3 linked regions of the Alligator mississippiensis genome follow. The protein of the gene in region 1 purifies or fractionates together with the protein of each later gene. This does not show direct contact. Links are inferred from orthologs where the notes say so. Each region holds a gene or a part of one and is shown in the gene's direction. Other genes may lie near its edges.

Region 1 (9,494 bases):
GTTGTGTACAGTGCATGTGTGTGAGGATCCCAGGGCCATGTGCGAGGTGAGTGTGTGAGAAACCCAAGACCTTACACAGAACAATTGTGCAGTGATCCCAGGCCCTCATGCACAGGGTGAATGTGAGATCCCAAGCCTTCATGCATGGGGTATATGAGGATCCCGGGCTCGTGTGTTGTGCAAGTGTGTGAAGATCCCAAGCCCTCATGTGTAGCATGGGTGCATGAAAGTCCCCGGGCACTTTTGTGTAAGGCATGTATGCAAGGATCCCAGGTGTCAGTGCCTGTTGGTAGGGAGCATGTCAAGCAGACAGGACGTGTGTGTTTGCACAGTGAGGCAGTGTACTAGCACATGGGCACGATGGATCACCAGCATGCCAGGGGGCCATGAGCGGGGGGGTGCTGTGGGCTGTGAGCATGTGAGAGCCCTGAAAACACACATGGGGCCTATGTCACGAGTGTATGAGGGGCCCATGAGCATGGGGGACAGGGAGGTAGGGGTCCTCCTCCACCTAACTTTCCCCCCCCCCCTTTTCCAGCTACACCTTCTCTAAGGTGCAGGGCAACAGTGATATCTACTGGCGGTCACAGCGCTACAGCCTGATCCTGGAGTACCTCAGTCGTCCTGCCCTGGCGCCCCCCTTCATCCTGCTCAGCCATTTGTACACCCTGCTGCGCCCCCGCACCCGCTGCTCCCGCAGCCGGCACTTCTGTGAGCATGGGGCTCAGGGGAGCTGGGAGCAGGTGTGGGGTGCAGAAGGAGCAGGGGACTGGGGGGGAGCTGGGGGTAGGGGGTGGGGAAGGGACATGGTGGGAGCTGGGAGCTTGCAAGGAAGGGTTTGGGGGTTGGGTAGAGCTGGGGTTGGGGGAGTTTGAGGGGAAGGGAAGCTGGGGTGGGAAGGGAGGGGTTGGCATTGGGGATCTCACTGAAGGGCTGGAGGCACTGGGTTGATTGACCCTGACACTGTCCTCAGCTTGGCTCCCCCTTTCCTGTGTTCTGCTCTTCCCCCTCCCCATGTGAAATGTATGTGCGCCCATGTCCCCATGCAAGCTCATGCACATGACCTCCCTTCTCATGCAAGCTCACACTCCCCCACCCTCGAGCACAGGGGTGCTTGGAAAGGTGCAGGAGCCCATGCCTGAGTTGTGCAAGCCAGCCCACATCTGTACCCATGCCCTTGTGCAACCTTGCACACTCAAGTGCCCTCGCCCCCCCTGGGTGAGCTTGGAAGAGCCACACTCACACTGTGCGAGCTGGCACATATCCTGTGCCTTCCCCCTCATGCAAGTCTCTGCTGTTGTGCCAATGCACACATCTGTGCCCCCACCCTCACGTGAACTTGCAGCACCCCCCAACTCCCTGCTCCATCCCCACCCCACGCCCCGGGAAGTCCCAGGCTTTTTAAACTAGGCCCAACTGTAAGTTACTTTCAGCCCCTTTCCCCATGTTAGCTCCCATGCCCTGCCTGCATGGTTCTTACGTGTGTGCATGGTCCCTCTCCCCCTGGCCCGGATGCCTGGGTCCCTGGCAGCGCTGGAGCTATCTGAGGAGCAGGATGGGCAGCTGCTTACATGGGAGGCGGTGCAGAAGGAGAACCACCTGGTAGCACTGAGGCGCCAGAAACGTGAGAGTGACACCGAGCGCCTGAAACGCACCTCCCAGAAGTGAGGCGGGGCATTGGGGAGGGGGGCTAGGGAATGGCTGCGGGGAAAGAGGGGTGCAGGGGGGAACCCTAGGCAAGGGGAGACATAGAGAAAGTGGAGGGGGTGGGAAAAGAACAGGGGGTCACTGATGGAGCCTGGGATGGGGTGCAGCAGAAGCTCTGAGGTAGAGGGGCTGGGGGGACCCCTGAGTGACCCCCATTCCCTCCCCCTACACAGGATGGACCAGGCCTTGAAACAGCTGGCTGAGATCCGGGAGTCAGAGCGACACCTCAAATCCCTGGAGAACCAGGTACCCGGGTGGCAGGGGGTGGGGGCTGAAGGACCCCATCTTGGGGGGGGGGGGAGGTTGAGGAGGCAGGAGAGGGGGCTCTCTATGTCAGGGTCTCAGGGGAGAGGGTGCCGGAGGCAGTGGGGGGAGGAGGGTTGGGGGTATAAGGGGCAGAGGGAGGGAGTGAAGTAGGCTTGGGGGCACTGAAGCTCTGCCCCCCCGACCCACCCAACCCCCCCAGATGGAGTACTGTACGCAGGCTCTCTCCTGGGTGGTAGATGCCCTGGCTCAGAGTGACCTAGGGAAGAAGCACCAAGACCCTCCCATGCTCAGAAAGGGTAAGTGACCCCATCCTCCCTGGGCTCCTAGCCCCCCGCCCCCCCACCCCCCGCAGGATGTCCCCTACTCCCCAGTCTCCATCTCCCTCCCCCTTGGATGCAGGCTGCCCCCTCAACCCTGGGACAGGGTCCCCCCATAAGCAACCACCCTACTCCCACCCCAAGAACCAGGCCCCTCGGGGGGTGGGGCAAAAATGAAGGGGTTAATTGGCTCCTTCATATATTAGTGTCCCCCCCCAAGCTGCAATGTGACCACCTCCTGCCTGTCCTAATTCTGTCTGTCTCCCCCCAACCAGAATGACCCACTCCCCCAACTCTGCCTGGACCAGTGAGAAGATGGGAGAAATGAGAACCCAGGTGACCAGGCACCTGGGACCTGCTGGAATCCAGGACAACCTCTGTAACCTCACTGTGAACCCAGGTGTCTGGGTGCTGTGCACTTTCTGAGGGGCTGGAGTTGGAACACCCCCCCCCCCCCCCCCAATCATTGCACTGGGAAGCCAGGAGTCCAGCTACCAGAGACTTTCCCTGTGGGGCTGGCATCCAGGATCCCCACCCCTGTAGACCCAGGTGACTGGGTGCCAAAGGACCTTTCAGAAGGGAGAAGCAGAGGAAGGAGGGAAGTTGGGGTATCCTGCCCCCAGCACTGCCCTCCATCCACTCTGGCAGGAGCCTCAGGATCTTGAATGACTTGAATTCTTTGATTAAATAAATATTGATTGTTGCACACCATGAGAACCAGGCCTGGGGGGCAGGGGCTGGGTGAAGTGGGACCCCCCCCCATGCCAGGATCCTGTGCTGGGAACCTCTGATACCCTGCCACTAGCACCCCTCACCTTGAGAGGCCTAGCAGAAGGGTGCCCTGTGTGCAGGAACCCAGGACTCTGAGCTAGCCTGGGGGCATGAGAAGGCCCCTACAGCGTCCACTTTGCCTCCAACCAAAATCCTCATGTGGTTCTCCCTAGGCTCCAGAGCAGCTGTACACCCCCATGGTCCCCCCAAGGACCCCCTAGACTTTCCCCTGGCCTCAGGGTGCCCTGCTTTGGGGTATCTTCTTCACCTACCACTGCCCCTCCCTGCCTGTGGCACCTACCACTCTGCCTCTCCCTCCCTGGACCCTCTCCCCCATGCTGGTGTGTGCCTAGGGACCCTTTTATAATGAGATGACTGGCTCTGTGGAAGTGGAGAGGGCAGTGGATGTGATACACCTTGACTTCAGCAAGGCTTTTGGTATGGTCCCCCTCAACATTCTCACAGGCAAGCTAAGGAAGTATGGGTTGGTTGGATGAATGGACTGTAGGGTGGATAGAAAACTGTCTGGATCATCAGGCTCAGAGCCTAGTAATCACTGGCTCAATAACTATTTGGAACCTGGCATCAAGTGGAGTGCCCCAGGGGTCAGTCCTGGGGCCAGTTTTGTTCAGTGTCTTCATCAATGACCTGGAAAATGGCATAGAATACACCCTCAGCAAGTTTGCAGATGACAGCAAGCAAGCTGGGGGGAGCAGTAGATACACTGGAGAGTAGGGTTTAGATTTAGAGAAATCTTGACAACTTGGAGGACTGGACCAAAAGAAATCTCATGAGGTTCAATTAGGACAAGTGCAAAGTTCTGCACTTGTACCAGGGCATTGTTCTGTCCTAAGTAGGCAACCAACTGGCTAAGCAGCAGTTTTGCAGAAAAGGAGCTGGGAGTTACAGTGGACAAACTGAGTACGAGTCAACAGTGTTGCAAAGAAGGCTAACAGCATATTGGGCTGCATGAGTAAGAGTGTTGCCAGCAGACTGAATGAAATGATTATTCCCTTCTATTAGGCACTGGTGAGGTACTGTGTCCATTTGTGGGTTCCCCACTACAGAAAGATGTGGACAAATTAGAGAGAGTCCAGTGGAGGGCAACGAAAATGGTTCAGGGGCTGTGGCACATGACTTCTGAGGCTGAGGCAACTGGGCTTATTTAGTCTGGAGAAGAAAAGACGGAGGGGGGGATTTAATAGCAGTCTTCAGCTACCTGAAGAGTGGTTCCAAAGAGAATGGAGCTAGACCGTTCTCAGTCGTCACAGAACAAGGAGCAATGCTCTCAAGTTGCAGCAAGGGAAATTTAGGTTAGATATCAGTAAAACACTGGAACAGGTTGTCTAGAGAGGTTGTAGAATCTCCATCCCTAGTGTAGTTTTTAAGACCCGGCCAGACAAAACTTTGGCTGGGATTTTTTTAAAATATAATTCTATATATACATAGAGTTATATATATACATCCTCTAGCATAAACTTTCTATCACACCTTTAAATCACTTTAAGAAACCATGCACCTGTTGGAATAGATGATCTCCTTAGGTCCCTTATTTTCTATGATTCGGTGACCCCTTCCTCTATTGCAAGGCCCCCTGTCTCCTCCCCAGGCAAACTCTCATGGGCAATCCCATTCTCTGGTTCCCTCAGCCCTTCTCCCATACACCAAGGGCTCTGGGGGCCTCATAGCCACCCCTTACTGAATCTCTCGGCTCTCCAGTGACTTTGGCAGCGCCCTCTGGGCACAACCCATAATTGGCTGAGCCCACAGCTCTACTATCCCCAGCCTGGGCCACAGCACCACCTCTCCATGCTGTCCTGGGCTGCACCAGAGGGTCCCCCAATCCTGGGCAGCACTCACTGGGCACTTGGGATGTGGCAGGTAAGGGACCAGGTACCAGGGCACAGCACTGAGTCATGCAGCGGGACTGACGCCAGCAATGCCCCCCCCCACCAAGCAGAGGGCCGTGTGCCCCACAGACCTCCCCCACCCCGCTAGAGGCTCTGGGCGTCGCCCCCTCCTCCGCCCCTACGAACCAAAATGTCCCGGAACCCTCGGCGCCTGGTCCTGCGCGCGCGCCGGCCGGAAGTGGTTGTGGCACCCGCACCGGAAGTGCCGGCGCTGCAGCGGCGGGAACCTCCGAGGGAGAGAAGCTGCCGCCGCCGCTCCTCCCCACTCCCGGTTACGGACACAGGGGCCACTTCCGTGGTGGTGGGGGGGGGACTGCAATAGGTGTGACACTCCCCGCCCACCACACCCCGGCCGTGGGGGCAGCTGAGGTCCCTCCTCCTAGGGCCCCCCTGCAGCCCCCCCAGGGGCGGATCAGGTCCCCCAGGGTGAAACTGCCTTGTGGCACTAGGGGCTGGGGCCAACTGGGGGGAGGGGGCTTCCCCAGGGATTCACGGTGCTAAGGTGGGGATAGGGGTGATGAGGAGGAGGAGGGGCAGAGCCATGGTGGGTCTGACTTTTTGGGGGGGGCGGGAAACAATGGGGGAGGGGATGGGGATGATGGGGGGGGTCGGCGGTGGGGGAGGGGTTTGGGACAGCGGGGAGGAGCAAGGGAATGGGGCTGGCTGTTTTGGGGTGGGGCAGGAGGTGGGGCTGATGGAGAGGCAGGGGGAGATGGGACTGGAGGTGCCATCCCTCACCTCCTGCCCAGTGCCTCTCCTTCCACCTGCAGCCATGGCTTGCCACCTTGTGAGCCAGGACGGGAAGCACGACCCCGTGCCCCTGCCCAACGGCATTGCCGTGGTGCTGGGCCGTGGCCCCGAGACCCGTGTGGCCGACAAGAAGTGCTCCCGGAAGCAAGGTGAGCCGGGCCCCCCCTCCCCCCAACGATTCCCTCTACTCTCCATGCACTGTGTGTAACTTCCCCCAACCCAGGTACAGCCCTCCCAAACCTGCTTGCTCCCCCATCCCAGACCATCTTGTCTGGGGAGTGGCAGGGGGGCTAGGGTGTCTGGATTTGGCAGCATGGGGGTTGCTTGTTCTGATTCCCTCCTTGCTGTTTTCTTTTGCAGTGGAGCTGCTGGCTGACTACAAACAGCAGGCAGTGAGAGTCACTCAGGTAAAGGGTGAAGTCAGGCACAGGGGCCAAGAGGCAGGTTTGTAGAGGAGTTGTTTGTACAGGGACCCCATGCCTGACACTGAGATGCAGCTGGTTCCAGGGTGGAGTGTGTCTGGGACTACTTATGCAGAGTTCTCTTTCCTGGTGCTGAGATGCAGCTGGCTCTGGGTTGGGGCACATCAGGGATCTCTTACCCAGTACTGAGATGTACTTGCCTTTGGGGTAGAACATGTTAGGGCCTGGTTATACAGAGCGCCCTCTCCTGGTTTTGGGATGCGGCTGCCTTTGGAGTGAGCACCTTGAAAGCTGGTGCATCTTGCTTGGCACTAAGATGCAGCCATTTCTTGGATTGGGGCACGTGGTGGGCTATTTATACAGGGACCTTTCATTTGGTACTGAGCTGCAGCTGCCTCTGGGGTGGGGGCACCTTGAGGGATGGTTATTCAGTTATCCCTTGCTCAGTGCTGAATTGCAGGTCCCTCTGAGGTGGAACAAGTTGTGGGCTACTTATGTGGCCACCCCTCCCCTTGGGCTAAGATGCAGCCACCTCTTGGGTGGTCTCCCCTAATGCACCCCCCCTTTGTTGCAGCTGGGTGTAAATCCCACCTCAGTGGACAACCAGGAGCTGGGGCAGGGCAAGAGCGCCACCCTGAGGGAGGGGCAGACACTATGGCTGGTAAACCGCAGCTACCCCCATGGCCTGCGCTTCCTGGCCCTGGCCCACTCCCCCCACAAGACCCTGCTGGACTTCTTCAGCTCCAAGCGCCAGCCCCAGCTAGAGGGGGACAAAGATGAGGATGAGGAGCATCCCCACAAGAGACTGAAGGCTCCCAGCCCCTCTGAGGAGGATGAGGAGGAGGATGATATTGTAGCCACCAAACTGCATCAGCTGCAGGACACAGCTGCCCAGGCCCAGGGAGCAAAGAGTGGGGCTGCCCCCCAACCCTTGGGGGGGTCCTGGAGCCTGCCCCCCCACCCCCAGGACTCCTGGGAGCAACACAGCAAGCTGCTGGTATTCACTAAGGAGGGTGTCATGCCCAGCACCAAGGTACTCTCTGGTGGAAAGGGACAGGACACCTCTGGGAGCTGAGGGATTGGGGTTGTGGGGAGAGTGGTGAACTTCTCTGCTCCTCCCCAACTCCAGGCCCTTGATTCCCTGTCTCTGCAGGTTGCTGGGTTTGACCTGGATGGAACCATCATCACCACTCAGTCAGGAAAGGTTTTCCCTACCAGTCCGGACGACTGGAGGTAAGGACGGGTTGGGAGTGAGGGGCACCATGAAGCTGGGGGGGGGGGGGGGGGGGGAGTTGAGGGCTGGGACTGCAGTAGGGGACCCCAACAGAGCTGGGGGAAACCCAGGAGTGGGCTGGCTGGGGGCAGGTGTGGGGAGCATTAACAGGGTTTTGTGGGGCAGGAAGTCAGGGGCAGAGTGGGAGACGTTGACAGGGTTGTGTAGAATGAGATGGAGAAGGAACTTAGGAGTTCTGGGGAAGAGCTAGGCACTGGCAGGGCTGTGGGCAGGGGGCTGTGGGTCAGGAGCGAGGGACCCCAGCAGTTTCCAGCGTGTGAGGTCTTGGGATAACTCCTGTCTCTTCCCTCCCCCTCTCTCCACCCCCCAAGGATCCTGTACCCTGAGGTCCCCCAGAAGCTGAAGCAACTGCAGAGAGAAGGGTATAAGGTATTCCCCCCCACCTTGGCCCCTCCCCCCATTCCCTCCCCCAGCCTCTCCACTGACCCCCACATTACTGTCTCCCCAGATCATCATCTTCACCAACCAGCTGGGGATCAGCCGAGGCCGCCTGCGCCCCGAAGTCTTCAAGGCCAAAGCGGAGGCAGTGGTGGAGCAGCTGGGGCTGCCCATACAGGTGAGCAGGGCTGGGGTTGGAACCTGGGATGTGGGGGGTTGGGGGGCTAGGGGGTTGGACCCTGTCTAGCTCCTGCCCCCCTAGTGCTCAAAGATGCCCCCAGTGCTGTGTGTAGTCCCTGATGGCCAGCTCAGATTTATAGATTCTAAGGCTGGAAGGGACCTCGGAAGATCATCGGGTCCAGCCCCCCTGCACCAAGCAGGACAGATGACTGGGGGTCAGGTGACCCCAGCAAGGTGACCATCCAGTCTCCTCTTGAAAATTTCCAGGGTAGATGATTGCACCACCTCTGACGGGAGATTATTACACAGTCTGGACACCCTGACTGTGAAGAAGTTTTTCCTAATGTTGAGCCTGAATCGGTCTTCCAGGAGCTTGTGGCCATTACTTCTAGTTTTCCCCTTGGTTGCCTTGGTGAACAGTTGCTCACCAAGCCCTAGATGTATTCTGCTAGTGTAGCAGTAAGCTGCTATCAGGTTCCCTTTCAGCCTTCTTTTCTTCAGGGTGAAGAGTCCCAGATCCCTCAGCCTTTCCTTGTATGGCTTGCCATGTAATACCCTGATCATACAGATGTCTCCTCTTTGGCTTCTCTCAAGCTTGTCCATGTCTGTTGAAGTGTGGTACCCAGAACTGGACACAGTACTCCAGCTGCAGTTTAACCAGTGCTGAGTAGACTGGAAGAATCATCTCCTTGGTTTTGTTGGAGGTGCATCAATTGATGCATGCCAGAGTATTACTTGTGGCCATTACTTCTAGGGTATTATTTGCCCTACTGGCTACAGCATCACACTGCCAGCTCATATTCATATTGTGGTCTGTTATTACCCCCCAAGCCCCTTTCATTCATGGTGCTAATCAGTTTGGTGCTGCCAAGTCTGTAGGTGTGTTGGGGGCTGCTCATCCCAAGGTGGAGCACTTTACATTTCTTGACGCTGAACTTCATCAGATTCCAGTCTGCCCAACTTGCTAGCCTGTCTAGGTCCGCCTGTATCTGTAGCCTATCTTCAAGCATGACCACAGTCCCCCATAACTTGGTGTCATCCACAAACTTGGCCAGTGAACTCTTCACCCCCATGTCCAAATTGTTAATAAAGATGTTAAAAAGTGCTGGACCAAGCACTGACCCCTGTGGGACACCACTGCCCACTTCTCAGCAGGAAGACAGATAAGGTCACTATGACTCTCTGGGTCCTATCCTGCAGCCAGTTTTTCACCCACCTGACTGTCTCGGAGTTAAGCCCATAACCCAGTTTTCTCACAAGGACATCGTGGGATATGAGATGAAAGGCCTTTTGGAAGTCTAGGTATACAATGTCAACCGGCTCTCTCGTGTCCAGATGGTGAGTCACCTGGTCATAGAAGGAGATGGGGTTGGTAAGACAAGACCTGCCCATGCTGAAACCATGCTGGCTGTCGTTTAGAATCTTCCCTTCTGCAAGCTTATCACAGATAGACTCCTTGATGAACTTTTCTAGGATTTTCCCTAGGATGGAAGTTGGG
Region 2 (10,284 bases), on another chromosome or scaffold:
CTTCAGTCTCTGCCCCTTCCTGCCATCCGATTCAAACCAAAGTTTGGGTAATACTTCCAAGAAATACAAAAGGATTGTGCTTTGTCCAGTTCCCAGGGGACACCAAAGAAAGAGACTTCTTAAATGTTCCATCTTTTTCTCCCTGGAGGGTATGTGATGTGCTCCCTATTCTTTAAACATCTTTGTGTTTAAGGCTCAGTTTTGTTTTTCTTGAAGTTTGAGGTGGGAGAAGGGGGAAGAAAAAAGTCAGTGAACTCTTCTGTAGACATTTCCAGCAAATGCTGTTTCTTCAGCACAGGGACTGGTCAAATTCAGTAGAAGCTGCTGGAAAAAAAAACTAAATGGAGTCACACAGCTAAAGGATGATCTTCCCTTCCTGCCATTTAACTTTTTGCAAACATGGAAATACGGAGTAGTGTGGTGACTGTTAATAACTGGATGAAAGACTCACTTGATGAGAGTGATCATCAAAAGCAGCCTGGTTAAAAAGCAGACGCTATGTTAAGTACTCTTCTGCCTAAATGAAAGGAATGTTTAAACACCTCCATGGGATGCCTAGTAACTATGAAAGTATTGCCTAAGGTAATTAGTTACATGATTTTTCTTCCAGGTTTATTTTAGGGATAATGTAGGTAGGAGGAATCTTCCTTTGTCTGCATTTTTCTAGCAGCACATGTGGAAAGATGGAAATGCTCTGCTAGTAAGGAAAAAAAAATTGAAACAGGCATTAAGAGAATGGGTAACCTTCCAGTTTATTTGGGCAGTGTGATGTGTCTGGGAACTGTATTGGTAAAGGAAAGAAATTCTTTGAGAAGCATACTTCTATAAAATATGGAGGCAGTTAGGACATGCAAAGTACTTGAGCTGAAATGACCATGTTTTATAGCTTACATTTCTAGGCTCAGAAGGAGAGCAGGTTTGACATTAAAGTAAACTGAAAGCCAGAAATTCACAGCTTGTCATTTAAAAAACACTGCAGTGTTTAGGGTGGCATCAACCCAGATTACGTTCATTCTTTGCATTACCATTTCCTTGTTCTTAGAGGATACATTACTAAGCCCTGGTGTACATTTTTTCCTCTTTGAAAAGGCAGGTAGACACACATTTTGTTTCTATGGAAGAGTGAGGCCTGGTCCAAAGAGTTCCCTGTTAAGATTAGATTTGATTTGACCCAGTGACTCTTCTGGACACAGAGTTGAAGGAATCAAAGGCTGCAGCAGCACTATGATACTGGATCCTAAAATTATTACTCATCTATAAATGCATTTTACATGAGCTAGAGACTATTCAAAATTCAAGATAAGTAAGATTTCCAAGCTATGCCTACTTTGCATCCAATACACACAAGTTACAGCTTCCAGGGGTTGGATTAGCCATTCATAAAAGGCCACCTATGGTAGCAACTCTCTTCACAGCACTCCATAATGAAGTTCCTCCTCTCCAATTCCCAGAAGTTTTTACCCTTGGAGCCGATTTATTCTAGGCTATCAGCCAACTGAATTCTTAAGCAGGAGAATGTTTGTAGCTAGAATTGTCAGGAAGCAGTATTCATCTCATCTCAGAGACAGTTTGGGACAAAGAGGGCAGGACAGTTAGCATGTAGGTTTTTAAAAAAGTTTTTAAGAAACACTTCTGGATTCATTCAATTTAGTGAATAGGTTAAGGTTAGGAGCGAAGCCATTAGTGACTATCTTAAAATGTAATTTAATATTCAGGTTCAGGAAGTGAGAGACAGAAGATAAACTATATAGGTCTCCTCTCTCCCCAGCTTGAGTTCTGAAAAGCAAGGCTGCTTTTGAGTGGGAGATTTACATTTCAGACTTCTTAGCTGCTTTAATAATCCCTCTAAGGATGCCTGAGAAAGAAAGAAAGAAAAAAAGATATCCTGATTTAGATAAGCCCATTAGATCTACTCTAAAGGGAATTCTCTACTCAGAAGTCCCTGGTTCTTCAGCACTCACATTTAAAGTAATTTCTCCTATACTTTTTCCATTTTTTAAAGAAGGAAAGTCTGCAGAGAGCTTTGCTGCTAAGAAGAACAAGAACATAAGCCTCTCTTCCCCTCCCCCCCCCCCGGACAGTAAAGCAGCAACTGTGGTACCTGTGATTTTTTATAGCAGGGCAAGGCAAGTTAACTGGGTTTAATCTGCAGCAGCTGAGGTGCTCCAAGCCCCAGTTAACATCTGCTCAGAATGGCCTTAATGACCTTGTCTTAGAGAGAGCCTGCAGCCAGTCTGGGGTTTTCCAGAAAAAGCAGGTGCCTTGGTTAATAATGCTTGATGATAAGGATGGAGACTCTTTTTACTTTAGTTTTAAATAAAGTTATTTCAACACACACACTGCTTCTATCATGAGTATTTATTACAGGCAAATCCCACAAGTATTTATATAGCTGTTGTTAAATTACACTCTGTGGATTTAAAATAGCTTTAAAAATGTGCACGCATAAATTAGCTGCCTTCTCTTTGCAAAACTGCAAGCTCAGCTATGAGAAAGGAATCCTTCAAAGAATACATGAGAGAAGAGGAAGCACTTCATTACAAAGAAGGGGTAGTCTAATTCTGAACTGACAAGACAGAGGGGTGTGATGGGAAAGATGACATTACTGTAGGGCAGACTGATAGCATTATTATAGATACCTAACACTTTGAGTTATAAGACCTTGCTTTCAATTGCATATAGTTTTGCAACATTTTAGTTATTTCAGCTGAAATTTCCCATGATGGATACCTGCCTCAGGAGTCATTTATTGGTCAGTGTGCTTTTGAAAAAAGACTTGAAACAATTCTAACTGAGGAGTTTTTCGGCCATCAAAGGAGTCAAATGTTAAGGAAGGGTGGAGTCACAGAGGTTGTCTGGTTTCAGTGGTCTTTTAAGGAAGGAAGAAATATTGAGAAGATGGCAAAAGGGTCAGCTGGGAAAGAATCCCACTATAGTTGTGATATTGTTAGTAGAAGAGGCTAATAAGAGTTCCATGTTAAAGTGCAGAAGTAGACCTTGGAAACAATGGAGCACAGTGTTTAGGACCAGGAAGGGGAATTTGTTGTCTGTCTCTACCTTTGCTTTCTAAGAATTCTCTCTGGCCTTAGAATGCTACTAGGAAGCTACGCGTTCCCCAGCTGGAGGGACAACTGGCCTTGAGCTCTTTATCAGGCCCTTTGCTAATTTGGAACCAGATGGTGTTGTGGTGGCCACTGATTCACAGGTATGTATGCAGAACACCTGTACTGATGCTGGCTGGTAGGAACAGGCTGCCATATCCTGTGTACACTCTCCATGAGTGGCATATGGCAGGGAATGGGATTCCCAGGACAAGGAACACTCCCCCCCTGCTTTTCATAGCTTCATGGACAGTAAGCTGGTCCTAGACAGCCAGTCTCTTTAATCCACTAATGCAGCCTCCCCACTTCTCTCCTTCCCCCATCTGCATTATCAACTGCCTGTTTCCAATAAACTTGCCCAGTTGTAGAGTTGAGCCATGAATTTCAGATTCTGCTCCAAGCCCCCCTGAGTCTGAGTATACTCAGACCCAGGGCAAGGTCCAAGCCCAACTTCTATCCATTTCTTCACTTCTTCATGGAGAAGCCTCTGTCACTCAATATCCCATTTTGCAGAGGAGCGTCATGATGTGTACTCACTCCTCTCATCCTAGGCATCAGGGGATTCAGAAGCAGGCACTAAGTAGGATTTTCAGATGTTCCTGAATGTCTAACTTGCTTTGAAATTAACAGGTGACTTGTCAAAGGTCACCGAGTAAATCAGTGACAGACCTGAGACTAGAGCTTGGATCATTCGCCCAAGCTTTACCACTGAATCACAAAGGATTAGACTGGTTGCCCCTTTACTCTAGTAGGTTACAGTTGCTGATATGAACACCTTTACTGACTTCGGCAGGATTATTCTTATGAGCAGCTGTTCTCCAGTGGATCTCACAGTCTGACCCAACAGGCTTTTCTATCACTAGCTTCTAATTAGACTCAGTTTATATTATATTTTTAGCATCTTATCCCCATAAGTGGAATAAGTGGAACTGGCCCTGAGAGGGAATTGTAGTCCCTAGGTCATAAATGCTTTCAAGAAATGTAGTTACGTGATCAATGCTGAGGATGGATTAATACTTATTCTGTAGCCTTTGGGAGCCATACAAGTCATGGCTCACACACACAGGCTTTTCCTTATCCCCATATGAAGTCACACATGCTCTAGGGAAGGTACAAAGAGAAGGGACTCATTCAGCCTTGAAAGGAGAGACAAAGATCCAAATAATATGAAGCATGTGCTAGGGAGATTTTTTTATTAGGATGGCAACTCTCCAGCTCTGGGCCTGCAGATCTCCCCGTAGCAGACCACATCAGTGGGGTTATTACAGCCCAGTAATGACTACAACTCTCGCAGCAAATTCAGTCCTTTAGGATAAGAGCTCTTTTGCTGGATGTTAGCCAAGACCTACCCTTACTTTTGTTTCTGATCAATCCATGTTAATGGATATGAACCAAGTCAAAGCAACCCTTGCCTATGAGTTCTTACTGGATAATATTCACTGCCAGGTAGAGGATCTATGAGCTACTTATACTGCATTTAAGCGAGACTTTAAATGAGACTGAAGTGGCAGCCTTGAGTTAGGCCCCCTCTGCTGGTGGCAAATTCCACCTATGCAGGCCTGATCATGAAAACAGATCAGGGGCCATTCAAACACAAACCATTTCTACTATCAGAGCGGGAGGACACTTGGAAACCATTGTTCACCTTGAACAATGGTGAATCTCTTTCAGACTGAATTTATACACATCTCTTGTCCCATGCCTTGATGATTAAGGCTGCAATAGACTTTCCATTCTAAAACTGTATTGACAAATAGTTTCCCTGCATGTGCAAATAGATGAGCAATACTGAGCATCACCATGCATTACCTAAGCAGCATTATTCTACTTTTCTCCAAATCATTCTGTAATCCTCTCCATTTCTCTTATCTCTTTTGTTTTGTCTTGCCCCTGCTCAGTATCTTCTTCAGCAGCTACAGAGAAGAAACACTTGTTTACGGTATGGCAGCTATTAAAGGTCTCACTTCATTTGAACGCAGGGTGATTTGGGACATTTTCTCAGTACCAAGAAAACTGAATTCGTTCGAACATCATTGCTCTGAACGAAATCCTGCATCAAGACTATAATTTCTGTCCGAAGTCTAACACTCGAGGCTATTCCGGGGACAGGCAGCTTGTTTCTCCTGTGTATCATCCTCATAAATACTTCAGAAATGTGGCAAATGCTTCAGTCTGCTTTAATGTACGGAAAGAAAATACGGAGCCACAACACAATGTCCTCAGGCCGAGCCCCTGGCGCCGACTGCACCGGGCACCCGCTGAGACGAGCGGGTCAGTCGCACCAGACGGAGGCTTCGGGCCACGTGGCCGGACGGGGCCTGCCCTCGCCGCGGGCGTCACAACGGGCGGGGGGGGGCCGCCCGCGCTGGGGGCGGGCCTTGAGGCGAGGGCCCTCCGGGGCGCGTCAGGGGAGGGGCGGGGCGTGGTGAACCGCCAATCCCGGCAGCCCCAGCTCCTCGGGCCCGCGTGCGCAGGCGCGGTGCCCCGTGCTCTTGAGCCCCAGGAGTCGCAACCGGCGGGGTGACGCGCTTTGCAGGAAGGGGATCGTGCTTGAGGCGAGGGCGGGATCTGTCGCCTCCGTGCCGCGTCAGGGGAGGGGGCGGGGCGGGGCGGGGCATGGAGAACCGCCAATCCCGGCTGCCCCAGCTCCTCGGGCCCGCGTGCGCATGCGCGGTGGCCCGCGATCTCGAGTCCCGGATTTAAACGGGTCGCGGGGGCGGTGACGACGCCAGCCCGGGGCGGGGCCGAGTGCGGCCTGTGAGGCCCCGTCGCTCGTAGAGCCGGGCCCGGCCGCACATGCCCGCGGCTCTCCGGCGGCTTTTCGTGCAGGTCGCTGGGGCGCTGCGCCGCGCGGCGGGACCTCGCCTCCCCCAGGGCCGCGTCTTGCTGCCGAGCCGCCCCTGGGCCCGCCCGCGTCCCTGGCGCCCGGGCCTGCCAACGAGCAGCCCCCCGCGCGCCGGCCGGCCCGCCCCGCGCGCTTGGCTGTGCTCGGCGCCCGAGGCCATGGCGGAGCAGCGGTACTGCGTGGACTACGCCAAGCGCGGCACGGCCGGTTGCAAGAAGTGCAAGGAGAAGATCCTGAAGGGCATGGTCCGCATTGGGAAGGTTGTGCCCAACCCCTTCACCGAGTCGGGCGGCGACATGAAGGAGTGGTACCACGTGAAGTGCATATTCGAGAAGCTGGAGCGGGCTCGTGCCACCACCAAGAAGATAGAGGACATCACAGACCTCGAGGGGTGGGAGGAGCTGCAAGATGCCGAGAAAGACCTCATCAACCAGCTTATCTCGGGTGAGAGCCCCTGTGCCCCTTCCCCCGCCCCCTGCATCTTGAGGCAGGGACAGAAAACAAAGTTACAGCAAGGGAGAAGAGGCAGGGGCACTCGCACGCATGCGCAAGGTGACCTGTCATCTGCCCCTCGTTAGGGCACTGGGAGCCACTGCTGGTTTCTGGTCCCAGCTCTGCTGTGTCGTGCTGTGCGACCCTTGGCCAATCCCCATAACTTTGTGCTTATTTCTCTGTAGAAACGCCTTCCTAAAGGGCGGGATGTTTTGTAGCTCAGAAACAAGCTGCTTATTGTCAAGCATTGTGACTTGTTAAGTCTTATTGAATACTGTGGGGCTGTCACTGATTGTGGATCTCAACACTTCATCTCTTACAGAGGCCACATCCAAGTCTGCAAGCACACCTAAGAAGAAGGCAACAGTCCAGGCTAAGCTGTCCCCCAGTGGGCAGATAACCTCCCCCAAGAAAGATCCAGGAGCTGTTCCTAATCCATCTCCAAAGAAATTCTCTGGTTTCACAGGTCGGAGTTGGTATATAGATGCTGGGAGAAGCTTTTATTTCTCACATAGCATTCATATTTCTGGCGTTTCAAGCTGAGTCTCACACCAGTAGCTTTCATCTAGAAACTAGAAGATTGTTTAGTACAAACTACATTTCATATTTAGTTTGAGGAAAATGTTAAGTATTTTCTCAGCTGTCAGGTGTTTGCATTATTCTGGTTGTGTGAACAGGGATAAAACCAACCAAATATTCTACTCAGAAAGTGTAAGGGGACTACAAAAAATGTTTGACTGTCTCATCTGAAATCAGCAGAAACCTGCTCCTTTTAGCCTCAGTGGAAAATCTCTCATTGTCGTTAACAGGAGCAGGACAGGAGTTTCCCCTCTCTCTGTGGGGTATGAATAGTGAAGGTATCTGGAAAGCTAATATGGAACTGGCAAGCTGTTTTTTGTGACTTGTGTTGATTACGTTACCCCTTTGAAGGGCCGCTAGGTTTTGAAATGATGTGCCCTTTTATGCTAAAAGAGAGGCAGAAATAAAGCAGATAAAACACCTGAGCTTTTCTAATATATTTTAGCACTTCAGTTTGTTAAACTAAAGCCACCACCTTCCAAAACTGCAACTATTGTCCTCCTGGTGTGACTGTACTGTATAACCAGATACCTGAATATATTGAAGTTTGTAAAATGTAGGCTGTTACACAGCCTTTCTTTGCTTGTTAAAACTAAGATAACCCTTTATTTCTAAATGTACTTTTTTTTTTTGCATTGGAAAAACTGCTTCTGACAGCTACTCGAGAATCCAACTCAAATGGGGTATTCTTTTACAAGAAACAAGCCTCTCCGATAAATTGATCATTTGCCAAGTTAGTTCTTGAGCTTCATAAGAAACTGTGATGCAGCTGATTTAGCTCACTGAATTACAGATTTGCAGAAGGCAGGGCAGGGTAGCATCTTGGGGCTCCTATACACATGTACAGAGCCTGCTCTGGTGTGCTGGAAATCCAGCATGTAATCAAGTCTGCTGGAGCATGCAAATTGATGTGCTCCAGCAGCCTCACACGTCATGTGTATCAGTGTCGTCATGCATCTCCGCACTGACAAAATGCCAGTGGTGTGCTTTCAAATAAGCCCCATCTGATGAGCTTTAGTTCAAAGTGCCCTGTTGCCGTTTTTTCAGTGTGGCAATGCTGATACGCAGGATGCGTGGGCTCTTTTAATTAGCGCAGCTTGCTAATCAAAGCACCCATCCAGGAATGCACGTAAAAATGTCTTTGGAGACTCAGACGCTGGTCCTACGAAAGCTCAGTTAGAGCTGACTCCCCTGACAAAGTCACTGATTGTATATTGAACCCTCTGTCTTCAGTACTTGTGTAAAAGGATGCCCACCAGTCAGATAAGCTGTTTTTATATAATTGTAATAGAATATATTTTATCCACATGCAGTCTAAAATTAAATCGTCTCATCAAGTCATCCCATCTTTGGATGACTTGATCCTACTGTACATAAGATGTCCAGATCCTGCATAAGGTTGACAAGACAGGTTCCATCTTCCTGGTGAGAGCAGGTATCTTTGGAAGTTGATTGGAAAAAAAAACAAATAATGGTTAAGTGGACAGTTATAAGAAAACCTGTGCCTTTGTCAAGCCTTTTCCACCCACTGAAGATTGCCTTCATGGTTGCAGATATTGGGGAAATCTGCTGCAAGTCCAGAAAGTAAAATAAAATCATCACTCGCCACAGTTTCTTCGCATCAAGATTTAAACCATTGAAGTAGGTAGATTTAAGCTCCAGAAAATTCTTCTGTGCTCTGAAGGGAAAAGACTTATTAAAGTAGCATAAATTTTGTTTTAAATGCTGATTCAGATTTTGATCATAAATTCTCAAATATTGCTGTGCATTTCATTCATATTTGAAGCTTTGCCAGTTTGTTAGTATTGTTCTTGCTTTCCACTTGCGTGGACAATGGTGCCCGTCTCTTCAAAGTGTGAATCATATCATTCCAGCCTACATCTTAAAAATTTAAATAGTATGTCTTTCTCTTGCAGCTAAACCAGGCAGTTCTGGGGACACCCCTGCCAATTCTTCCCACAAGTCTACTCTGTCTTCAAAGAAGTGTGACCCAAAGCACAAGGATTGCTTGTTGCGGGAATTCAGAAAATTGTGCGCCATGGTTGCTGACAAGCCCAGCTATAATGTGAAAACACAGATCATCCAGGACTTTCTGCAGAAAGGGACTGGAGGAGGTGTGACTCCTGCTTGACACTTCACTGTGTGTGAAGGGCTTTTCTAAAACAATTAACCAGACCCTCAAGCATTATTTCAGGAGTTGAGGAAGCAAAAAAGTCATGTCTGTGGATGAGGATTCCCAGAGTTGTGCCCTATACCACTTATCTCTAATATAATCTGGGTGGTATCCATAGTGTGCTTTCCATTCTCTTTACTATTGTGGAGATAGTAAGTTGTATTAAGACTAACAGCAAGATCATGAGCAGTTGGTGCCAAATCTGCAGTACCAGTGGTGATGCGTAGGGTGTGCACAGGGGTGCTTGTGCACCCCCTGAGAGTGCTAGTGCACCCCCTGTCAGCTAACGTGCCCAAGTGAGGGGGCAGGCGAGAGTGCTGGTGCCCCCCTTGAGAGCACCAGCCAGGAAGTGCACCAGGAGAAGCTGTCCCCCCACTGCCGATCCCGCCAACCCGGAAGTGCCAGCAGCACACTGCTGCCAGTTGCAAGTCAGCAGGATCAGTTGTGCGGGATCTCTTCCCCACCCCCAGTTGCTGACTGTGCAGTCAGGTGGGGCAAGTGACTCAGGAGGCACCAGTCACCCATGTGCAGTACTAAAATTAGATGAGGAAGGGATCAACTGGATGATTCCCCTGAGAAGTGTCCTTTAATATAGAGAAGAACTGAGAGGTGGCCAACCTGTATCACATGTGGCACAACTGTCATGAGCAGCTTGTGTGTGGCATGCAACAGATTGGGGAGGAGACAGAGCAGAAAGCAAAGCAGCAGGGTACAGAGCAGGAAGGAGAGCAACCTAAGGCAGGGGAAGGGAATCAGAGTGACACCCGGGAAGGTGTAAGGCTAATTTATGGTACACCTACTAAAAAGGTTAGCCCCTGCTGGAGTAGAAGAACATAGGGTGATGCATGAGAGCTGTCACTGGAGTGTTTTCTATTACTGTTAGTATTTCTCTTTTGTGACATTGCAGTTAGATGCTAGAGTCTGTGGCTGTGACTAGGCTTTGACAGTTTCTAATGACCTTTGCATCTTTTTCCAGATGGCTTTCATGGTGACTTGTACCTGACCATTAAGCTGCTGTTGCCGGGTGTCATTAAAATTATTTACAACTTGAATGACAAGCAGATTGTAAAGCTGTTCAGCAGAATTTTCAACTG
Region 3 (9,839 bases), on another chromosome or scaffold:
CTGGACCTACAAGCAGCCAGAGGCAAGTTTGAGACACACTTCTAGAGTGTTTCACACCTTCATTGGTGCCCTTCAGCTTTAAACCTCTTTTCCACCTGCTGAGAACCAGCTGAGTTGTGTCAGGAACTAACTCCTTGGCCTGTGGCACCTCAGCCTTACCCATCTCACCAAAGTTTGGCCAGCTCTCAACAGAAGGGATTCTGACAGCTAGAAGAATCATATCCTTGTCTGGTCATGTGCTTGTGAGTCTGACTTTCCTGCCAGGGCCTCATGCAAGTTATCCTGACACGACTTGTTCTCAAGGCAAAGCTTAAGTATAGTTTCTTATCTGGTTATTTATATACATTGCCCATTGGATTCTTGGGGATCCCACAACATGTATATAACTTTCTGTCTTCCTCCCCCGCAACGAAGTTGCACGTTTACCAGTCTAAAAGTCTTCCCTGATCTAATTAAGACTAGGAGAATAGTTGCATCCTTTCAGACATGAAGATTACTAAAATCCAGTATCCTAAAGATACTGTCTCTCACTTAGTTTTCCCACTGTGATAAATGTTCTTCCCCAAACAGCCCACACAGGAATGTGATATTTTTATGGGTCCCCATTTTTAAAATGTAAATTCGTTATTGTTTGGAAGGCCTGGATATTTAACATCCCTTTCGAATGCTAATTTTCAGTGATTACTTTTCTTTAGGCTTTGAGCTTCTCCCAAGGGACTCATTACCCAATCCTGGCCCTATTGCAATTAAAGAAATAAGATTTATATCAAATACCACAATTCATATAAACCTAAGGATGTTAAGGCTGAACACAACTTGATGCTACTTATACGTACAGACTATACATGCCATATCAGTAAACAAACTCAAGGAAACATGCATGACATCCTATGAATATAATGGGACTCATGACACAAGTATTCCTGCAACATGAAATACATGTCCATGAAAACACTGAATAAAGAATTTTGGGGGTCAAGAGTTCCCACCCTATCAGGCTTGTACAGAACCAGCAGATTCAACACCTGCTGCACATACCTAAATCTGTTAGGTTGCACAAAAGTGCTGTGCACTAACAACTGGCACTACACTGGCCCTGTGGGACCACTGCAGGTGTGTGGTTCAAGAGAGACTGAAGTGCCTTAGGTTTTTGACTGTCTGAGACTAGCAAAAAAGTTAGCAACATGCAAAAGATGCATCATTTTTCTCTCCCCCTGGCTGCAAAGAGGGCTGATGTGAAATTCTGAGATGGCTTGAAACCTCAAACTATCAAATACATTACAGTAAGAAGCTTATCTCATTTCCCCACACCTACATCCATCATTACAGCTCACAAGTCAAGCACATTGCTTGCTGCAGCTAAAATGCAATAGCAGTTAAACAACAGTGAAACTATTAATATTGGTAATTAAAATGGCAACAGTAAGACCTCAACATAACCTTTCAAACTAACATGGGTGGGGAGAGTCTGCACTTCTGAGAACTATTGTTTTAGGCCACTTACAGTTTCAGGAAGACAACATTAAATTAGTTCACAACAATAAAAGCTAGATTCCGACTTTCTTCTGAAACTGAAAAACTGTTCTGCTTTGTGATAAAGTCTATGACAAGAGACTGACCACAATCCTCTTGAAATAGCTTCACAGATAACTACTCCAACTGATCCACAAGCAAAAGTGATAGTATCATACATCTACATCAGTGGTTCTCAACCTTTCTAGACTCAAAGCATTCCTCGTTAGACTCAGAGAACCTTTAGGCAATTCCAGCTCTTAGTTTTCATTCTTTCTTTGACTACAGAAAACTAACAGCAATTCTTTTGTTGCAAAAAACTCAGACCACAACAGGGCAGAAAGTTCTTGACACTGGATTTGTATTTAAAACCTCTGGGTTAAGCTTGTATATTGTGTTCACCCATGGCATCCTTGAAAGGATACAAGGGTACCTGTCTGAGAATCAACAGTTTACATCTTCACCTATACAAATTCTGTCTGTACTACACCAAACCAACGCATCCAAAGCAGCATATTGGTCCCACAAAAAATTTGTGATGCAAAAGGCTTTGCTTCTTTATTGCATACATTAATTCCCACCAATTAACAGGTCATGCAAAAGCTTCAGGAAATAGACACAGCGTGCTAGACAGTCACCAGCTTAACTCATGGGAAAGGATATTCCTTTGTATTTAGGCTAAGGCAACCAGTTTACTATTTCGCCCTACAAATCTATAAAAAATACCAGTCTTTTTTAACCAGTGTAAAATTATTTCTCCCTCCATCAGTCCAAGAAACTAACAAGAAGGCATGCCTTAATTCAATGACTGTCACAGGTGAATTTGCATTATAAATTCTTATCAATTTACAGGATACTATAAGCTTTTCAGGTTTACTTGTGTATTCTAATGAGGAAACCTCTACATTACAGAAACAATAATTTATACAACTTCTCTCCATTTTACAAGGAGGATGAGAATATTGGGTAATGTTTTAAAAAAATGCAACAAGAGCCAGTGGGGAGGCAGAGGTAGCGGAGAAGAGGGAAGCGGGAAGGCAAGGGGGATGACTGGTGGCTGTGCCCTGCCGTGACCACCGCCACAATTGCCGTGATCATGGGCTACAGGCCAAAGCAGAGTGGGGGAGCAGCCTCAGCCTGAAGTGGTACAGGACACAGACCCAGTCCCGGCCCAAAGTTGCAGGGGGGAGGTGGGGAGCAGCCATGGCCCCAGCCACTGGTGGGGGGAGGGGGCTGGACGCAGGTCTCTGTCCCTGCCTGCCTCCTTCCCATCATTCTTGAGAGAGAGAGAGTGTAAAATCTCATACAATTTCCCTCGGTCTCTATCCAATTTGTTTTAAGTTAACTTCTTGTTGAACTGCTTTGTTATTTTAGAAAGCGACATATTGTAAATATGCTCTATTAACTAGAAAACAGGGTAGAAATCTGGTTTTACAAGACCATAGCTATTGGTATTCTAGTTTGTTTTCAAACAGGTGTTAATGCTTCTTATAGTTGTGTTAACCATGGTCCATACCCTCTAGCCTCCAAAACACATAAAAGCAACACAAAATCCTGTAGAGCTACACTATCACACCCCACCCATACCATGTTTTCTGGTAGCTCCCAGATCTACCCTGATTCAGCCTCATTTCCTCGTACACATCCTAGAGCTCCATATATAATTGCCAGATCTCAGCCCCCAAGCCCCACTCCTTCGTTTTGAAGCATGATGATATCCTACGCAAGTTCACTGGAAAATTCAGCCCAACTTTCATCCAAGTAGTCTACTTGACAAAATATTTACTTATCAAAACAAGACGTTTCTACACAGAACATGTTCTGGCCTGGACGTTCTCTACTATTATAGAGGCTTTAGCTAAAAAATTCCTGGGGGGGGGGGGGGGGGGGGGGGGCACCAATCCTTTACGTACAATATTTAGAGAAAAATCCAAAGGTTAAAATCAGAAGAATAAATACTCCACTGATGAATGTGATTATTCTAATTTATATTCTAAGGTGGAGTTTTAAACTACTTCCCTCTCTCTGTTAGAGGCTACTTTATTATATCCAAGTAGTCTTCTAGGCTGCTGGTGAAGAAAGAGAATTCACTTAATTTCTTCCATTTGCAACAGGTTCCATACATGCAGGTTTCAGAATCTCTTAATGTTATGGCCATCTACTATACAGAAAGGACAGAAAGCACTTGTATTTTAGCACTTCACTTGTCTGCCCCAGACCTTACAAGAAAAAGGTTTATTAAGAAATGCTCCTACAAGCATGGGGGAGCAAAAGCCAGACCGTGGGAATCTCTTTAGAGGTTACACAACCTTTTTCATACTGATGTACTGGCTTTCTTCGATCATGAAAAAGAACAGTTGTTCTTCAGAGTTACTGGACAGTAAAGAAAGATTCACAAAAATGATACCACCACTGAGACTGGCCGTTTTATAAAAAATTTCCGAAAACGTCTTATTTTCATCTTTGATTTCAGGTACCATAAATGTGAAACTTTATTCTGATAGGGAGTCCTATTAAACCCAAATATTTAAACAGAAGAAAAGAAACTAAATGGCTTCTGAAAGCTTAAACTGGTTGAACAAATGTGTTCCCATCATCCACTGTAGAAAAGTGTATTTTCCCCAGGTTGAAGCAATTTCAACTCCGATTCCGAATGGCTATTCTTCCACCAGACTGCTGAACTTCGGAGAACTCCTTGGAAGAGCCCAACTGAGTCATCTCCAGTCAGTCCACGTATGCTAGGTACAGGCATCTCATCTTGAGCTATGCCTTTATTTAGACCAAATCATTCTCAAAAGCATCTACCACAGAGAGCTGTCAAAATGATTAAATCCTCTGCTCATGCACCTGACGTCTCAATTACAAGCATATGAGCATCCCCATGAAGAAGATGAAGAGCAAGTCAAGTTAGACCGGCAGTTCTCAACTCAAGTACATCCTCCTTGTAAAATTTAAATCGAGACCCCCTCAGCTTTTGCTGCGTGTCTGACTGAAGATAATAGGGGCACAGGTTAGAGCTGTGTTGGTCTACGGACATGGGCAGACAGTGATCTTTGGGTAAATATGATAGCTTTTATTACACGGACTCAAGTTAGTTGGGACTCATATGACGGATTCCTGTTTGAAAGATCTGGGTTTATTTGCTAGACCCCTTTGCCCACCCAGCAGCGCTCATGCCATGCAGCAGTCCTGACAGGATGTCAAGTCACCCAAGGGTGCTGCTGCAGTGCCCTGAGCACCCCCGAGTTGGGACCCTGACACGACCGACAAGTCCCCTGGCTCTCGCGGGCAGTGACGGAGGAACTTGTGGGAAACCCCTGTCAGACACAGGGCGCTGCGCGAGGCGGCCTCGCTGCCGGTCCCCGCCTCGCCTGATGGGACAAGGGGCACCCGGATGCTCAGGTCCAGCACCCGACCGGGGGGGGTGAGGACGGGAGGTAGGTGATCCTAGACCAGGGTTCGCGAGCGCCGCCCGCCGCCGCCCGCGCCACCTCCACACTCACCATAGCGCCCCGCTGCCAGCCACATCACACTTCCGGCAGCAAAGGGGCGGGACCGGAAGACATAGGAGCCTAACTTCCTTCTGATTGGCCGGACAGATGCCAGCCTCGCAAGGCCGGGCGCCGCTGAGCGTTCTGATTGGCGCGGGGGAGCGATGAGGGGTGGGAACGCGGAGAGGCCGCCGCGGCCTGCGATTGGCTGTGCTGAGGCCCGCGGCGAAAGCGGCCTTTCCAGGGCACCGGAAGCGGCGGCGCCTGAGCGAGGTAGGCAGCGAGCGACGCGCCCCTCCCCCGCTGGAGCTTGGGGGAGCGCTGAGGCGGGGGGAGCCCTTGCCCCGCCCCCGAGTGAGGCAGCAGTGCGCGTGCGCCCGCTCCCCGGGTTGGGAGAGCGCAGCTCGGCTGAGCCGGGCAGTGCCGGGTCGGGGCCCTCTCCCGGCTCCAGACCTGGTGTTGACGGGCCGTAATGGCCTGGGGCCCCATTATGGTTCCGCCCCGCAACCGATGTGAGTCGAGGCCGCCCCTGGTTTGCTTTGTGCGGCTGAGGGAGCGGGTCGAGACCTCCCCGCGCCGTCCGCCTTTCTCCTGTCCCAGTCCCAGGGGACGCCGGGACTGAAGAAAGCGGCCCCGGGCCTGCAGCAAGGCTGTGCTGTCCTGGGGCCCTACCACGCGTTGCCTGCACCAGGCTCGTGGCGACTCGCGCAGTACACGTAGGCGGCCACAAGCGCCAAGTCGTCATGCAGTTGAGAAATGAGTCGCGCAAGAAGTTGAGAGCGGCCCTAGGTTCAGAGTCGTGGTCACACATGGAAAATGAGCCTCCTGCTCTAGAAAAGAGCCAGCTGGCTGTTTGGGGAACGGCACCAGAGCTAGTTTCTATCCAGCTGTCATTTGACCATGTAGTAGGGTTGCCAACTCTTTTTGAATCTGTCTGGGGCCGTTTCCAGACTGCCAAACGCAACGTGAACACGCCCACGTGCTTGCGTGTATCAGTGATGGATTATGGTGCGTAGACTTTAGGTCAGGAAGGCAAATGCACCTGATTATTACATTAAAAAAACCCCCACTGGATTACTGTATAAATTGGAGTCAACGTTTTTATTTTAATGAATGCCTTATCATTTATCTCCCAGGTGACTCTCAGCAAGCTCCTGGAGATTTATGTCTAATTACTGGAGACTCCTGGAGGGTTGGCAATGCTAACATGTAGCAGGGCCCTTCACCTTTGCACTTAGTGGGACTTCGTGGTGCTTGTAGACATGCAGAGCACTGTCTCTGATGCGCTGTACTGTAATTATGATGTGTCAGAGCAGACTCAGTTCATCGAGTCTCGATGAATTGAGTCTGCTGGAGCATGCTAATTAGCACACTAGCAGCCTTGGGGGCTTGTGTATTCAGCATCCCCATGCTTCAAAATGATGGCAGGAGCTTTTTAACTAAAGCTCATCAAATGAGCTCTAGATAAAGAGCACCCCTGCTAGCATTTTAAAGCATGGAGATGTTGGATGCATGAGATGCTGTGGGTGCTGTAATTAGAGTGGGTCTCTGGAGCTGCTCTGCTTGACACCCCTGCCCCCCCAGCACGTGTAAAGATGTCCAATGTGACCAATTTCCCACAGGTATGCAGTGCTGCCTTGCAGCCCTGAAGCTGACTACCTGTATTTATTTTCAAGATCCTAGGAGCCAGAGGCTGTTATTAAAAGCCTTGGGTTTGGCTTCCCTTGTTTTTGAGACTCGCAACAGCTTTCCCTATCCCTGTTTCTGGCTCACTTAAAGGGAGTAAAATTACAATGCTGACAGATGGAACTAGCATGTAGTTTACCTGAGTACAGTTTGTCACAACCCAAGGGTGTGATTTTTGTTTGTGTGTGCTTCGGCACTGCTGAATTATTTCCCGCCACTCATAGCTTTCTTTGCAGGGTGCATTTCTGAGCTGCAGAAAGGAGATGCACGTTGCAAGGAGTTCCCGCCATTTGTATTCAGATTCGTGCCCCACTATTGGTCAATTCTAAATTATTCCTACGTGGCTGCTAGCGATTGGCTTGCTAGCCGTATAAGAGGCTTGAGTGGTTTCCGCCCAAGTTGGAGGACTCCACGACCATCAGGTGGAGGAGAATTTCACGTCTCGTGAAGATCTCTAAGCGCTGTGGAGCCTATCGGACCCAGCGTGTATTTCAAGAAGGCTATAGGGGTCTGATCAGCCTCTTGCCTCTCCCCGTCGCCGCCTGATCCCTCGACGTACCCTTCCCTGCACACAAAGTTCCACGGAGCCTAGCAAACTTCATGTGAGTGAATCCAGAGCTCTACCCGGGGTTCGAGTCCTGCAGATTTTTTTCTTCCCGTCGCTGAAACCCCATTGCGACGTACTCCTGAGGTTTTTGTTCATCTCCTGTCGCCGAAACCCCATTGCGACGTACCCTAACGTTCTGCAGGTTCGAGTTTTTTGTTTTGTTTTGTAACCGCAACTCAAGCAAGTTTTCCTGCCTGTACCGCGACCATCTTTGGTGTAAGTAAAATAATCTTAAATCAACCACTAAGCATCCATGCCTAATTCTAGCGTGCCACCTGTCTTCCCCCACCCGGCGTGTCCGGGCTGCTGGCCACAGCCCGCCGTACGAAAAAAGGGCCTCGGACCGCTCCCGGTCCGCACACAGTTAAAGATAAATAGTGAGATTATGCATGTTACACAGATAACCAGTATTTATTATTTATAAGAAAAAAGCAACAAATTGGGACTGGCAGTATGGGTCTAAGGGGAATGCATTGTGGTTGAAATCCTGCAATTAGAAACTTGTCCATCTCTTTGGAAGGGGAATCAAGCATTTTTCTTCCCTTGATATGTTCACTAACTCATACTAGTAACATCTTGTTGCTTGATGTCCTGTGACAATCAAGACAAGGTGGTGTGTGCAGCTGCTGTGTGTGGCATGTTATAGATTGGGGAGGGGACAGGCAGTATCGTGGCAGGTAGTGCAAGGAGCAGATTGGGCCGGGATTGCAAGTAAGGAAGCAGAAATCAGAGCAGCAGATTAGGCTGGGGGCACAGGGCTCGGAGCAGATTGGGCAGGGGAAGGCAATTGCAATGGAGAGAGTGGGGCTAATTTCTGGCACAACTGCAAAAAAGATTGGCACCCACTGGACTAGATTGGTCTATGAAAACTTAAATGTATAATGGATCTTCTTTACATTATACCTACAATCGTAGAATAGTGTCCAATCTGTGAACAGATGTTTATATGGTTGATCTTACATTATAGGGTGAACTCATTGTATTATATAACCCAAGATATGTAATAACTGCACACATATGTAAGGGTTACATTTTTACCCCTTTTATCTATATCTATTAAAAGTCATGAATTTAAATCCTATAGATGTTTAAAGTAGTCTGTGTGCTATATAGGTTGTTGGCTTAATTAAAACATTACATTTTTAAGAAACATTTTAGATTATAAATTCTATAGAGAGACTTGCATCTGGCAGCTGGTTTTAAAGAAGGTCTACCTCTACCATCGGGCCTTTGAAATGGATAGTATTTAATTTGTTGGCTCACCATGAAACAGATGTGGTGTTTGTTTTTTAAACGGAGTATTTTTTTAAGCAGTTAGCTTTGATCCTCTGAGGAATTCCAGGAAAACAGGACTATATGTGTGAAGGCCAATTTGGAGTCGAAGAGTTTCCTCACGATTATAATATATTTGCAGCAAGGTGCCTACATTTGATGTCATGTCTTCTGAAAGTTTATTACACCAATAACCCAATGTTGCCCTTTCCAAGACTAGTGATTCTTAAAGAATGGGAAAGGCTATATCCATGCTTCAAAATGATAGTTTTATTTTGGGTTCTCTTTATTAAGGTTTACTATTTAACTGCAGTACATTGTTTTCAGCCTAAGTTGTTATACAATGCAAACGTTAGTTTCTTTTCTTCACTGGGCAATGGGGAAGAAGAATTACACTCCTCCTGTGGGAGATAGAAGGTTAACAGTTGATATGAGCAAATACTCCTTTAGGAAGTTGCACAATGGTCAAGAATGGAAATACAAACACAGTTATACTGAATGTAGGCAATCTGCTGTTTAAACAACCATTTAAACATAACTGACATACACGTATCAAAAGGTCAGAGGTCCTTTTGAACCTAAGATTTTTTTTTCGTAACTAACAGTATACAAGGGAGCAGAGTAGATAATGGGGCATCCAACTGGTTTGCTCCCTAGCCCAAATGACCAGGTTGTGGTTGACTGGCCAAAGACCTCTTTAGGACAAATCTAGAGCAGGGCTTGAACTTGTGTTTCTGGAGCAGGAGCAAGGTGCATCACTCTGCCACTGCATCCCTTAAAATAAATATATAAAGCACTTAATGTGTTTATATATTCTGGCTTTGCCTTTTCAAAGAACCCAGATTAATAGTTCACGTGATTTCAGTTTTCCAGAAAAGGACCCTAAATTTCAATTTCTAATTTGCAGTGTATTGATATTGATATCTGGAACTTTCTGCTAAAAGATTGGTAAACAGAATTCAGGCTAGGTTGATTTATATTAGTTTTTATTTAAATTACTGGTTTTTGTCATGGTGTTAAGCAGCAAGCAAAACTTAATTTAAATAATCAATTTTAAATCTTGTTTGCATTGGCACTTTTTGGTTATTTTTCAATAGATTTGCAACTAAATCCACTTTGATGCTAGTTCTGCACCTTTTGCTAGTCATGAACATTATATATGCATTTAACAAATTAGTTAAATTATACAGCTTATTCATCAGATTCTTAGTCTCTGCATTATATTAGAAAATGATGAATGGCATGCTTTTTATAGATTAAATAGATTTTTT

The links.
Region 2: the proteins of PNKP (region 1) and LIG3 purify together in Homo sapiens (co-immunoprecipitation; 5 studies listed by BioGRID and IntAct, with this or other methods). This does not show direct contact. The link is inferred for Alligator mississippiensis from reciprocal best matches to the Homo sapiens genes PNKP and LIG3.
Region 3: the proteins of PNKP (region 1) and XRCC4 purify together in Homo sapiens (co-immunoprecipitation; 5 studies listed by BioGRID and IntAct, counting the BioPlex papers as one, with this or other methods). This does not show direct contact. The link is inferred for Alligator mississippiensis from reciprocal best matches to the Homo sapiens genes PNKP and XRCC4.

What each region holds. Positions count from the first base shown.
Region 1 is NC_081828.1:39,807,325-39,816,818, reverse strand, and holds the start of PNKP (bifunctional polynucleotide phosphatase/kinase), read left to right. Parts: upstream 1-5,625; 5' UTR 5,626-5,666; coding exon 5,667-5,871; intron 5,872-6,082; coding exon 6,083-6,129; intron 6,130-6,718; coding exon 6,719-7,177; intron 7,178-7,297; coding exon 7,298-7,377; intron 7,378-7,749; coding exon 7,750-7,807; intron 7,808-7,886; coding exon 7,887-7,994; intron 7,995-9,494. Other genes in the region: TRPM4 (transient receptor potential cation channel subfamily M member 4), read left to right, coding at 539-711, 1,532-1,664, 1,881-1,953, 2,174-2,270, 2,567-2,571. UniProt on the Homo sapiens protein: Plays a key role in the repair of DNA damage, functioning as part of both the non-homologous end-joining (NHEJ) and base excision repair (BER) pathways.
Region 2 is NC_081837.1:26,292,533-26,302,816, forward strand, and holds the start of LIG3 (DNA ligase 3), read left to right. Parts: upstream 1-5,837; 5' UTR 5,838-5,897; coding exon 5,898-6,390; intron 6,391-6,760; coding exon 6,761-6,904; intron 6,905-8,933; coding exon 8,934-9,131; intron 9,132-10,166; coding exon 10,167-10,284. UniProt on the Homo sapiens protein: Isoform 3 functions as a heterodimer with DNA-repair protein XRCC1 in the nucleus and can correct defective DNA strand-break repair and sister chromatid exchange following treatment with ionizing radiation and alkylating agents.
Region 3 is NC_081826.1:248,738,389-248,748,227, reverse strand, and holds the start of XRCC4 (DNA repair protein XRCC4), read left to right. Parts: upstream 1-5,193; 5' UTR 5,194-5,276; intron 5,277-5,396; exon of another isoform or gene 5,397-5,515; intron 5,516-9,839. Other genes in the region: TMEM167A (protein kish-A), read right to left, coding at 5,016-5,018.